Tamandua tetradactyla: one gene and its partners. The protein of the gene in region 2 interacts with the protein of the main gene of each other region in a pairwise test. Links are inferred from orthologs where the notes say so. Each region holds a gene or a part of one and is shown on either strand. Other genes may lie near its edges. The genes, in order: MEOX2, SDCBP and TNFAIP8.

Region 1 (3,600 bases), on a different chromosome or scaffold from region 2:
CCCTGACCTTGGAAAGTAAAAGCCAGATTTTGAGATTATGACCCAAGAACACATCCCATACTAAAGCAGAACAATCGACCCCATCGCTGCAGAGTGTGAAGTACGGGGCTCACTCATTGGCATGGGTGTGGGGGTCGCACCTACAGTTTTATAACCAATTAAAATTTTGCAACACTTCAAACCATTAGCTGTGATTACCTTCTAAGACTATTAAACCGATCCCACAAAGGGAGAAAAATATGCAAGTATTATATTAAACAAATGACAGCTTCGGAAAAGATGGAACTCAAGTTGCATGGCAGCTGCAGAAATACAACTTAGAACCTCCTTTATTGTAAACTCGATTTCAGAAGGATACAGATTGGTAAGAGCTTTTAGGAGAACTTGGCGTTTTTCTGGATTGCTACAATGAACTTGGCAGTTGTACCTTCCAGCATCCGAGTTCAGGAAGGCTCCTTTGCGTGGCTATTCAACACCCGCGCGCAGAAAAGCGCCTTCTGCGCCCATCTGCGCACAGGAGCCCTGGGCCCGCAGGGAGCCAGCACTACCGAGCTGCTGTTCGCCTCCAGTGCCTGCCCTGGATAACACTCAATTTGGGGAGGATTTCTTTTCACTTTCGAAACTCCGCGTCTTCACATTCGCACCACATGAATATGAACTACTATTATTGTCTTTCCTTCAGAGTCTGAACATCTATTTATTTACTTACATATCTGCACATTCCTTAATCTTCTAATTCCTATACTGTTTTCCTTCCCAAGCAAGGGGAAATTTTTGCCATTTGGAATAGGGTGCTATTTAAAGAACTCTGAAATCAGAATTAAGGGGGAAAAAAAACCTTGAACTTTTTTTTCTCATGCGCTCTGCCAAGTTCCATTGCAAGTTCCAAATATTGTGCAATAATTCGGAACTCCAGTTAACGGTGGGAAAAATCGAGCCACTCTGAGTGGGGAACTTGCAAGGGAGAAGTCAAAGGGTGGCACCCACTCGCAGTCTCCAGCAGACGCTGCATCCCGGGGACACTCCCTTTCCCTAGCCCTCCGAAGGAAGGACACGGTTCGCAAATCGATTTCTCACACAGACACTTGTCCTTTTTTTCTCGACCCTCTGGTAAACTAGTTGGGAACCTGAGAGAGCTCAGGGCAGCTGGCTGTCTGCGTACGTTCTGTCCTGGGAGAAACGTGTGCCTTTGGCCCCCTGCCTCCCCGCCTGCTGCTGACACAACCAGAGCAGCCCGGCTGGATTCGGCGGCGGGGACGCCAAGGAAAGACAGGTTGCATCTTTCGGCCGCTCCACTTTAATTGAGAGAAATCTTTGGTGGCGTTTCCCCGCCCCCTTCACAACTGGTGCGCTTACCTGAGCTGTCGCTCTTCCTCTTGCCGCCACTTCTCTTCTCCGCCTCCGCAGGCGACAGCGCCTGGCGGCCGTAGTCTCCCGGCGCGCACGTTGCACCCGTCGGGGTGTTGGAACCCAAACTGGGAGAATTGGAACACAGGACTGGCGGGCTGTTGCCCAGCTCCGGGGGGCCTCCGGAGTCCGGCTGGAGGCACAGGCTGTGCCGAGCCGCGCTCGGGGGCGAGGACATCTGCGGGAGGTGCCAGCTGGTCTGCAGAGCCTGGTGCTGCTGAGGCTGGTGGTGGTGGTGGTGGTGGTGATGGTGGTGGTGGTGGCCCCTGGGATGCTGGCTGGCGAACATGCCCTCCTCGTTGGGGTATCCCGCGATTATGCAAGAGGAGGAAGAAGTGGAGAGCTCGGGGTAGGACATGTGGTCAGATCTTCCATGAAGGGCGAGTGAGGACTGGGAGAACGGGTGCAAGCCTTGCGCCGCGGCGTGAGGGCTGCGCAGGCAGCCGAAGAGCGGGTGTTCCATAGCATGCGCGTCTCGGCTTCCAGGCGGAAGACTTCGCGAAGGTTCCGAACTCCACCAGCCTCTGTCGGTTTTCACTGGAGACAGTGGGGTTTTTTCCCCCCCTCCCAAAGCAATAGCAGCACACGCTTCTGCAGAGCGTGGATAACCCCGGCGCCGAGCCCTAGCGGCCAGCCTTCTCTACGCTTACACGCTTGGACCTGGGGGCGCTTCCCTTCGAACCACTCAGAGGTCTAGAGGAGGAGAGGTTCAGCCAAAAGAAGGTGGTCCCAGAGAACCGCTTTCAGGGGGAAGCGGCTCTGGGAGGTTATAAATAGAGTGTAATGTGAGCTGGGGGCTGGCTCAGGAGCCCGGCGCTGACCACAAGCAAACTCCCTCCAAACCGCTCGCTCAGTCAGCGCGGCGCGCTCGGAGCTCACTTCCTCCCGGGGCTGGGCCCCCGCCGCGCGCTCAGACCCGCCGCCCCGCCGCAGCCCCGACGCTCGGCTGCTCTGCGCTAAGCTCCCGGCGGCAAAGGCGCGTGACGCCAGCCAGCTCCAGGCCAGCACCCAGTGCCCCACTCGCCCAGTTCTCTTTCAGTGTCACGTAGGAACTGTCACCTGCAGGAAAAGCTGGGGAGGGGGGTGGGGCGCCCAGCCTTTGAGGAACACGGAAAGGCCGATAGGGTTGAGGGAAAAGGTGAGCGCTAGTTGGGCTCGTACTCTGAAACTTGAGTTTGCAAAATTTCTCGTGCCCTGCGCCCCGGACGCAACCGCGCCCTCCCCATCGCATCTGGTCCCGCCGGCTGGGTGGCGACGGGCTCCGACGCCGGGGCCGAGGTTGCAGAGGTGCGCCCGGCCGCGAAAGGCTGTCTTCGGTGCCTGCAGGAGAAGGCCTGGGGAAGGTGGAGGAAAGCGTGGGCCCGAGACATTGCAGACACACAGGTCCTGACCTCCTCACCTGCGAGGCCGGGTGGGGCCTCCCTTCTCCCCGCTCCTCGCAAACGCCCACCTCCACCCTGTCCTGGACCCGCTCAATTCCCTAAACCACTTGTCCACCAAAAACTTTTCCCGGGTCGGGATTATTCCGAAGCGCTCACGTCTCGGCCACTTGAGACGTTTTGATTATGTGCACATTTCCAGCCTTTGCCCTCGGGAGCCTGAGCCGCCCAATTCCCCTCTTGCAACCCACCTTCTCATCCTCTCAAAATAAATCAGCTGCTCGCACCCCTCCCTACCCTCCCCCCCCCATTATGGATCCATTTATCGAGAAATATTGCGTTCCAAAACCCCACTTCCCCTTCCCTAAACTTAAGAGCATCAGGTTTTACTGGTTATAATTTTGCATGCCAGAAAACTTGCCACCAGTGAGTACCGGCGAGCGAGGGCTGGACTCGATTTTCCTTCCAAAGAGGGCCAAGTGTTGCCTCTAATACTGCCACTTACATAGGGGACGACCCGGTGTGCTGGGGCCGAGTCTTGCACAAGACAAGCGAGCGGCGCGTCTTGAGCTGCCTGAAGTGCGGGTCCCCTGACACTTGTAGCATCAGGATAGCATCTGCGGTCACATATCTCGCCCGCGGCCTCGAGCGAGCCACTAGCAAAGGCGCCGGGTTATTTTCATTGTCTCAGGTGTCCAGAGGGCGGTGACCAGAACTTTGAAGCTGTTAATGAAATTAATGGGGACAGCAAACTGCTCCAGCCATCTGGTTTGAGTTATGAAAAAGTATTGATTAACCTTTAGCGGTGTCCCCA
Region 2 (3,821 bases):
AGATGGTGGTGAGGGTAGCACAATACCTGTGAAATGGTATGCTTGGAAGTGGCTGAAATGGGAAAGTTTATGTTGTATTTTTGTTCCCACAATTTTCAAAAAAGAACTAAGGAGACAATGACAAATGAATACATGATTCTGGACTGGCTCTAATAATGGAGAAGAAAAGGCCCAAAAGAACATTACTGGGACATGTGAAAAAAATGTAACATAGACTGGAAACTTAATAAATGTTAAAGTTCTTGAACTTATATAACTGTACTTACAGTGATCACAAGCGAATAGCCTTGATCTTAGGAAATGTACATGAGACTATTATGTTCAAAGAGCAATTTTTTAAGATATCCAGGGAAATTCTGATGATTAGCCACTGAGAAATATGGCCATATGAAATCTACTCTTTGTAGAATATTTCTTCTTATCCATAAGATTCCATTTCTCACCTACTGGATTGGACTGGCAAAAATCCAAAATTTGACAACACACTCTTGAATTTAGCCTTGGGAATTTAGCCTTGGGAAACACTCCCTTCCCATACTAGTGGGAGGCTAAACTCATACAACCCTCATGAATCTGCAATATCTACCAAAATTATAAATGTAGATATTCTCTGACCCAGCAATACCTCTACATGTTAAGCTACAAATAAAGTTGTGCCTGTAGGAAGTGACAAATAGATGTTTACTCACTGCCATACTGATTTTAACAGCAGAACAATGGAAACAAATGAGAAGTTCTCTATGTGCTGACATTGAAAGAGCACCAAAATACCATCAGTACCCGAAAAAACGAAAGGTTCTATGTAGAGCAGTAAGCTTATATTTGAGATAAGAGGATGGGAAAAGAATATTTATGTGATATTTGTATACGTATAAATACCCCTGAATGAATACTTAAGACATGTTTTAACAGTTGGTTGCCCACAGTAAGGGAAAACAGTTGAATGGAGGCATAGACTGGGTGAATTTCATACTAAAGACTTCTTTACTTGCTAAATTTTGACCCATACGACTGTATTATCTTACCAAAAATGAAATAAGGTTACCGAAAACTGTTAACAGCACTTGGAAAGAAATTAATAAATGTTACTATAACTATTACTAGACATGAGAAAGTACTGTAAGGTTGTTAGGGACAGTCGTTTTCATTTTAGGAAATTTAGGCATTTACTGGCCCAAAAAGGTACCTCAGTTTAGCAAAGACAGGGAAAAAGTCATTCACCCTCATTTTAGGGAACTGTTTTACTAAACAGTATATTTAACTATTAGTAAATTTTTCCCCTTTGGGGCATGGCTTTTAATATCCTTTCTTACAATGTCCAAAACATACGTAAAAAGTTTTTCTGCAAAAGTTTAATTTGGATTACAATGGAGTAACTACTTCCTTAGTTATTCCACTTCCTTAGTTTTATTCTGTGGCACATATCACTTGATCTATAATATATATATACACTATTTGCTGCTCAAACGCTTAGAGAACTAAGACGGTAACGAAATTGAGACTTTTTTTTTTTTACTGTTTGCCCTCAACCTGAAATTTAAAAAAGGAAAGAATGAGGCAAACTTGAGTCTTAATCTATCACTTATATACATTTCAGGAAAATCAAATGAACAAGAACTGCAACATATTCTCAACGCAATGTTTCTTTTTAATCAGCTGTCTTCTCTTTGGATCAAGTGAATGTTGGAGTCTGGTAAACCAAGGGCACTTTCTAAGTAACGTCCTTATATAATACAAAACATAAACAAATCAAAGATAGAAAATGTGCATGCAGACAATCCATACGGACTAGATATACCTAAAATTCCTTTCAAAAAACCAGTACATTAGAAAACTCCCCAGTTCAGTAATTCCACCTGGATGCGAATAAAAACTTTCCACATCCCTGTGCCTTCACTTTCCCACTATTCCAATGAAATCCTGAAACGAAAGCTCTGAGTCACCAGCTCTCAAGGGATATTTCCTCCTGAACACACCCTGCTGGAAATGTTTCTCCATTTCCAACTTCTCCAGAAAGAAGCGCGGAGTGTACAACCCCACCCCCTCCCCCTTCCAGAAAGTCGAGGCTTCGCCCACTAAGCAAACACCTCCTTCCTCCTAGCAAAGCTGGGACGCTCCCGCCGACCAGCCGCCGAGGAGGGGAATTAAGTACAGCCCCGAGAACGCGGAACCCGTGACCGACCGCAAGCACCCGCTCTCCCGTGATCTTACCCCGGAGGAACAAAAAGGCTCGCCAGGGGCGGTCCGAGGGTCCCACAGCCAGCTGCTGTGCCCAGCCGGACCGGGACCCCAACCCGCAGGAACCCTGCTGGCAGAGGGCCCCGGCCGCAAACTTCCGCCCCGGGCCCGGCAAGGCGAGGGGAGGGCGCGGGCTGGGCGCAGGGCCCGTAGAGCAGAGGGCGCCGCCGCCGCCCCCCGAAAGCCCCTGACCCAGGACGCTCTCTCCAAGGGACCCGGAGTCCTCTCGTATCCGCGCCCGGACCGCCCCGAGCCCCGAGCCGCTCACCTGGGCCGCAGGACCGCAGGACCGCAGGACCGCTCGCCGACACCCTCTCCTCGCAAGACTTAGAAACCTGAGGGCAGGAAAGCGACGCGCGCCGGGGGAGCCACCCGCCAGCCCGGAGCGTCACGGCGCCGCCCCCGCCTTCCGTCCGCGCGTGCGCGCCACCGCCATCAGCTGACCCGGTCGCTGGGCAACCGGATTGGGGGCGGGGTGGGGGCGGCACTAGCTGCCCCGCTGCTGGGGTCCCCGCCCCCCTCACGTCGCCTTCAAAGAAAGAGAGTCCCGAGGTCCCGGGCCTCCTCCCCCAGCCTGTGACTTCCCCACTGCGGTCTGTGTCACTAACTCCGCGCTGCCTCCCACGCCGTTTCGCAACTCCTGTCCTGTTTCTCTATTGCTTTTTTCTCTTTTATTACTCTGGGCAATGTCAGAGCGAACGTTGGTTGGCTGTTGAAGGCATGTCTGGTGTGGCACAAAAGCAATAGCCGGATCCTAATACAACTATCACCTTGAGATTTTTGCAACTCTCCTGGAAGCTCTAAGAACTTGATGTATACGGTCTTATTTGTACCTTACCTTACATTAATCTGTAAGGTAGCTACGACATCCCCACTTTACAGACAAAGAAACTGAGGTCCAGGTCACCTAAGAGTATATAAACGTACTTAGCAGAGAATTCCATAGACTACGTGACATAATACCTTTAACAAACAGGATTTTTTTTTTTTTGCCTATTTAAATTATTCAATGCCAGAATTGTCTTCCGGGGTAAAATAATACAAGTCTGAGGATAAAATAGCTCAAATGGAAATAAGAGGAAAAATTTGTTTTCGTGGAGCCTCCCATCTAGCTGATGAAACAGACATTTAAAAATATGTATACTAACAGTTGAAATGGGTGCTTGAAGAAAAAGTGCAGGAGACTATGGAAAGATATTACACGGAAGCCAAAATTAGTCTAGGAGTTCAAGGGAGGCTTAAATATGTGGCTTTTAAACTGATGAGTAAGAATTAGCCAAATAGCGAAGGGAGGAAAAGTGTTTCAGGCAAGGGAATAGCTCTGGCAAAGAGTTTAAATGAAACTTGGTGCATTCCAGAAGGTGAAAGGTATTGGGGCCAGAACAAAAAGCTAAGAGAGGGAATGGTTTAAGATGAAACTGGAGAAGTAGGCAATTGAAGCTACTGAAAACATAATGTGATTAAATTTGCCTTTTTCAAAGATTACTCTGGCTACTGCTAGGAGAATGGATTGGACATGAGGACATCTGGGATATGGGGAGACCCACTAGAAGATTATTGTAGTAGTCCAGATGTGACAATTT
Region 3 (3,821 bases), on a different chromosome or scaffold from region 2:
GAAAATAAAAAAAAAATACCTCATTCCTACCTGGCCAGTATAAACATGAATTTCTATAAACAGTGACTACTGCTTAGAGGTGTTCCTATTCTCAGAGCGTATAACTTTGCTACTTAAAATGATTAGCCTTTGCTTTTGAAGAGAACATAAAGTTTTCATAAAAATACTGTGACTGTATACGGGCACAGCATATACTGTACATACATACATACCTGCACATATGTGCATATCTACAGTGTAATAATCTCTCTAGAAATATATTTATTTTCCTGGGCATCTGACAGTCCTCATCACCCACATATCTTTCCCTTGTCCAAACCCATCTGTGAGCACAGTGCCAATCCTGTAAGGCCCACTTCAAGGGCACCACCTCCATGAAGCCTTTTCCTGATGCCCCCAGTTAGGTTTCGATTATTTTAACCCCCCAGGCACCTCATTTCTCGGTAGCACTTTTTGGGAACCTATCACAGTTGTCCTTATATTATCTTGGTTCAATAAATATCTCGCTTCCCACTGCATGGTAAGCATCTTGCTTTTATGTTTATCCTCTGTGGCAGGAACACTGTGCCTTGAGCTTACCCAGCATGCAGGGAGGACAAAGAAAAGAAACCAAGTGGAACACAATGAACAAGTGCTCTGGGGTCCTCTAGGCATGATTCACATTCCAGCTCTGGCATTCTCTGGTTCTGTAGACTTGTAAGTTGCCTAACTTCTCTGAGCAGTTTTGCTCTCCTGTAAAAAACAGGAATATCATCACCAGTCTCATAGAATTGCTATCAAGACTGAATAAGGACCAGGTGAAGCAGAAAACATATTTTCTGATGTGCAGTGAAGGCTCAAACAGTAACAAGCATTATTGTTGACCGGAATGGAAATCAAGTCCCTCCTGCTAATTTGGGTAGGAGACTGAAAAGGATACCAGATCAACACCATTTTTACAAACATATCTACACATTTCTTATTTTCACTAGCCCACCTCAATACGTAACTAACCCATAGATGTTTGAATTTTTTACCTTAGAAGCCAGAGCAGGACATTCCTTTTGTGTTCCTTTGTGTTATAGCTCCAAATTCTGGCTGGCCCCTTAATGTTATGACAACATTATCAGGGACTTAGGGTAAAAAAAAAAAAAAGTCAAGAAAAAAATCTTCCTGGAAGTGCGGGATTCTAAATCACAAGAACTTCCCAAACTCTGAATCACCGGCAATTCCAAGGGTAAGCTACAAGGTTACAAAGAAATGGTACATCTAAAGAGAGAAGCAGTTTCTCCCATTTCCCTAAAATGTGGCCTCAGTGATAGCTAAATGACGAGGCAGCCACCAGGAACCACTGTCTGCTACTACTAGGAGAGGACAGAGCAGCAGAGTAAGTAAGGGAAATCTGAAGGAAGAATCTGACAGCCCCACACACCAAAAAAAAACCCCACAGACAGGGTGGCAGAGCCCTCCACCCAGTCAAGAGGCAAGCAGTAAGGTAAGGCGCAGAGATAAGGGCGCACCCCAGCTAAGGGCAGAGAAGGCTACAAGCACTACAGCTGTATTCATTGCTGGGCACCTACACACCCAGCAGGACATCCCTGATTCTGGAGAGAGTTCTCCAGCAATGGGGGAATAAAAAGTAAAGCATGTGGACAGACCAAAAATCTGCAGGATCTCATTCTCACTTAAGACATCCCTGATCTCTGTTTGCCACTATGAAAACTTATTCCTGCAAAGAAGACGCTAAGACTACTTATAATTATGCCTAAGAGTTACCCCCAGAGAACCTCTTTTGTTGCTCAGATGTGGCCTCTCTCTCTAAGCCAACTTGGCAGATGGATTCACTGCTCTCCCCAAAGTGGAACATGACTCCCAGGGGTATAAATCTCCCTAGCAATGTGGTACAGAGTTCCTGGGATGAGCTGGGACCTGGCATCGTGGGATTGAAAAAGCTTTCTTGACCAAAAGGGGAAAGAGAGAAATGAGACAAATGAAAGTTTCAGTGGCTGAGAGATTTCAAACAGAGCTGAGAGGTTACCCTGGAGGTTATTCTTATGCATTTAATAGATATCCCTTTTTAGTTTATGGTATATTGGAGTGGCTGGAGGGAAGTACCCGAAACTGTTGAGCTGTGTCCCAGTAGCCTTGATTCTTGAGGATGACTGCATAAAGATAGAACTTTCATGATATGACTATGTGATTGTGAAAATTTTGTGTCTGATGCTCCATTTATCCAGGGTAATGACAGGTGAGTAAAAAAAATATGGATAGATAAGCAATAGGGGGGATAAGGGATAAAGTAAATTGGGTAGATGGAAATACTAGTGGTCAATGAGAGGGAGGTGTATGGGATGTATGAATTTTTTTCTTTTTTCTTATTATTTCTTTTTCTGGAGTGATGCAAATGCTCTAAAAATGATCATGGTAATGGATATACAACTATATGATGATACTGTGAGCCACTGATTGTACACCATGTATGGACTCTATGTGTTTGAAGATGTGTCAATGAAAATATTAAATTAAAAAAAAAAGACACTTGCAGTAGATTCAACTCTCCAACAATTGTGATGATCAGTCCATGCAGAGAGACATCACCCATATTCTGAGGCAGGGAGGAGAGAGGAGGTAACTGTGCCTTCCAGCCCCAGATGCCCAGGCCACAGCTTAGTGGCTGAGGAATCTGTCCAGACCCGGGTTGTTGAAGCAACCTGGGCTCAGGAACCCAGGTGGTCCTTTCTCTCTTTCTTGGGTGAGCAAACAGCACTGAAGCCAAAACACACTGCTGCTCGGCATTCCCACCTCCCACCCCCACCCCCAGCCCCTGGAGTACAACTGACTCATGCCAGCTTTTGGAGCTTCACACTGATACTAAAGAAGCCATCCTTAGGGGAGTCTGTTTCCATCTTATCTAGCACTTCTTCTCCATCTATCTGCAACCACGAGGATGGTGGCTATTAGACAACCAGATTCCCCACCTCTGTATGCATGTACTACACATTATCCAGGCATCTCAGAGTAGGGCACTATCACTGCAATCATTTCACTCTCCCCACACCCAGGAAAAGTGGCTGACAATCCCAGTTTCCAAAGAGAGTGGCAAAGCAAATGAGGTTAAGCAGAATATTCAACATGGCCCTGCAAGACAGGGCAGGGCTGAGAAGAGAAGCCACGAGAGGCCTTGACCCTCCCAGAGCAATCTCCAGAACACACACCCTCTTTCTAGCCTAGACGACTGCTTTTTTACTTACCCTGAGAAAAACATTTCCTTTACAGCCACCCACATCCTTATCAGCAGCACATTCAACAAAATCACCACAAGAGTGATAAAATTTGTGCCTGCATGAAAACGATACCTTCACTTGTTGCTTTCTTCTGATTCTATAGCCTCACAGATGGAACTGAAAACATCTACGAAAAACCTTGGCCTTTCTGCTTTGGCTTTCCCATTAGGCTCCCTAGTCCCTAGAGCACAATATTTTGTTTTCTTTTTGCTTAGCCCTTCCCTCTCTCCATCAGTCCTCCCAAGACCCCCCTCCACTGCCAGATCCCAGCTACCTCATGCTTCTCACTGGCCTGCCTAAAACCATGGCCCCAAACCCCAAACCAGAGCCCCCTCCTTGATTCAGTTCACTCCTCTTTGTCCCTGGCAAAGCAAGCGGGGAGAAAGGTAGGCTGAGCGGGCATTGTTCCAGGAACCTCAGTGCCCAAGAGTGGCACGGTTCCAGAAGTCTTTCCAGATGTTATCACAGAGACGTGGACCGTCAGACTCACCCTCTCCCACCCAAGGGAGGCCTCGCCTAGGCAGAGCAGTGCATGGTTGACACCTAGAGAAAGATGGG

Evidence for each region.
Region 1: the proteins of SDCBP (region 2) and MEOX2 interact in a two-hybrid assay, tested with the Homo sapiens proteins (2 studies listed by BioGRID and IntAct). The link is inferred for Tamandua tetradactyla from reciprocal best matches to the Homo sapiens genes SDCBP and MEOX2.
Region 3: the proteins of SDCBP (region 2) and TNFAIP8 interact in binary tests that used the Homo sapiens proteins (3 or more experiments, as listed by UniProt). The two-hybrid records come from large-scale screens. The link is inferred for Tamandua tetradactyla from reciprocal best matches to the Homo sapiens genes SDCBP and TNFAIP8.

The regions. Positions count from the first base shown.
Region 1 is NC_135327.1:108,686,557-108,690,156, reverse strand, and holds the start of MEOX2 (homeobox protein MOX-2), read right to left. Parts: upstream 2,206-3,600; 5' UTR 1,871-2,205; coding exon 1,357-1,870; intron 1-1,356. UniProt on the Homo sapiens protein: Mesodermal transcription factor that plays a key role in somitogenesis and somitogenesis and limb muscle differentiation. Required during limb development for normal appendicular muscle formation and for the normal regulation of myogenic genes.
Region 2 is NC_135332.1:101,847,751-101,851,571, reverse strand, and holds the start of SDCBP (syntenin-1), read right to left. Parts: upstream 2,641-3,821; 5' UTR 2,507-2,640; intron 1-2,506. UniProt on the Homo sapiens protein: Multifunctional adapter protein involved in diverse array of functions including trafficking of transmembrane proteins, neuro and immunomodulation, exosome biogenesis, and tumorigenesis.
Region 3 is NC_135347.1:9,095,612-9,099,432, forward strand, and holds the start of TNFAIP8 (tumor necrosis factor alpha-induced protein 8), read right to left. Parts: upstream 2,762-3,821; 5' UTR 1-2,761. UniProt on the Homo sapiens protein: Acts as a negative mediator of apoptosis and may play a role in tumor progression.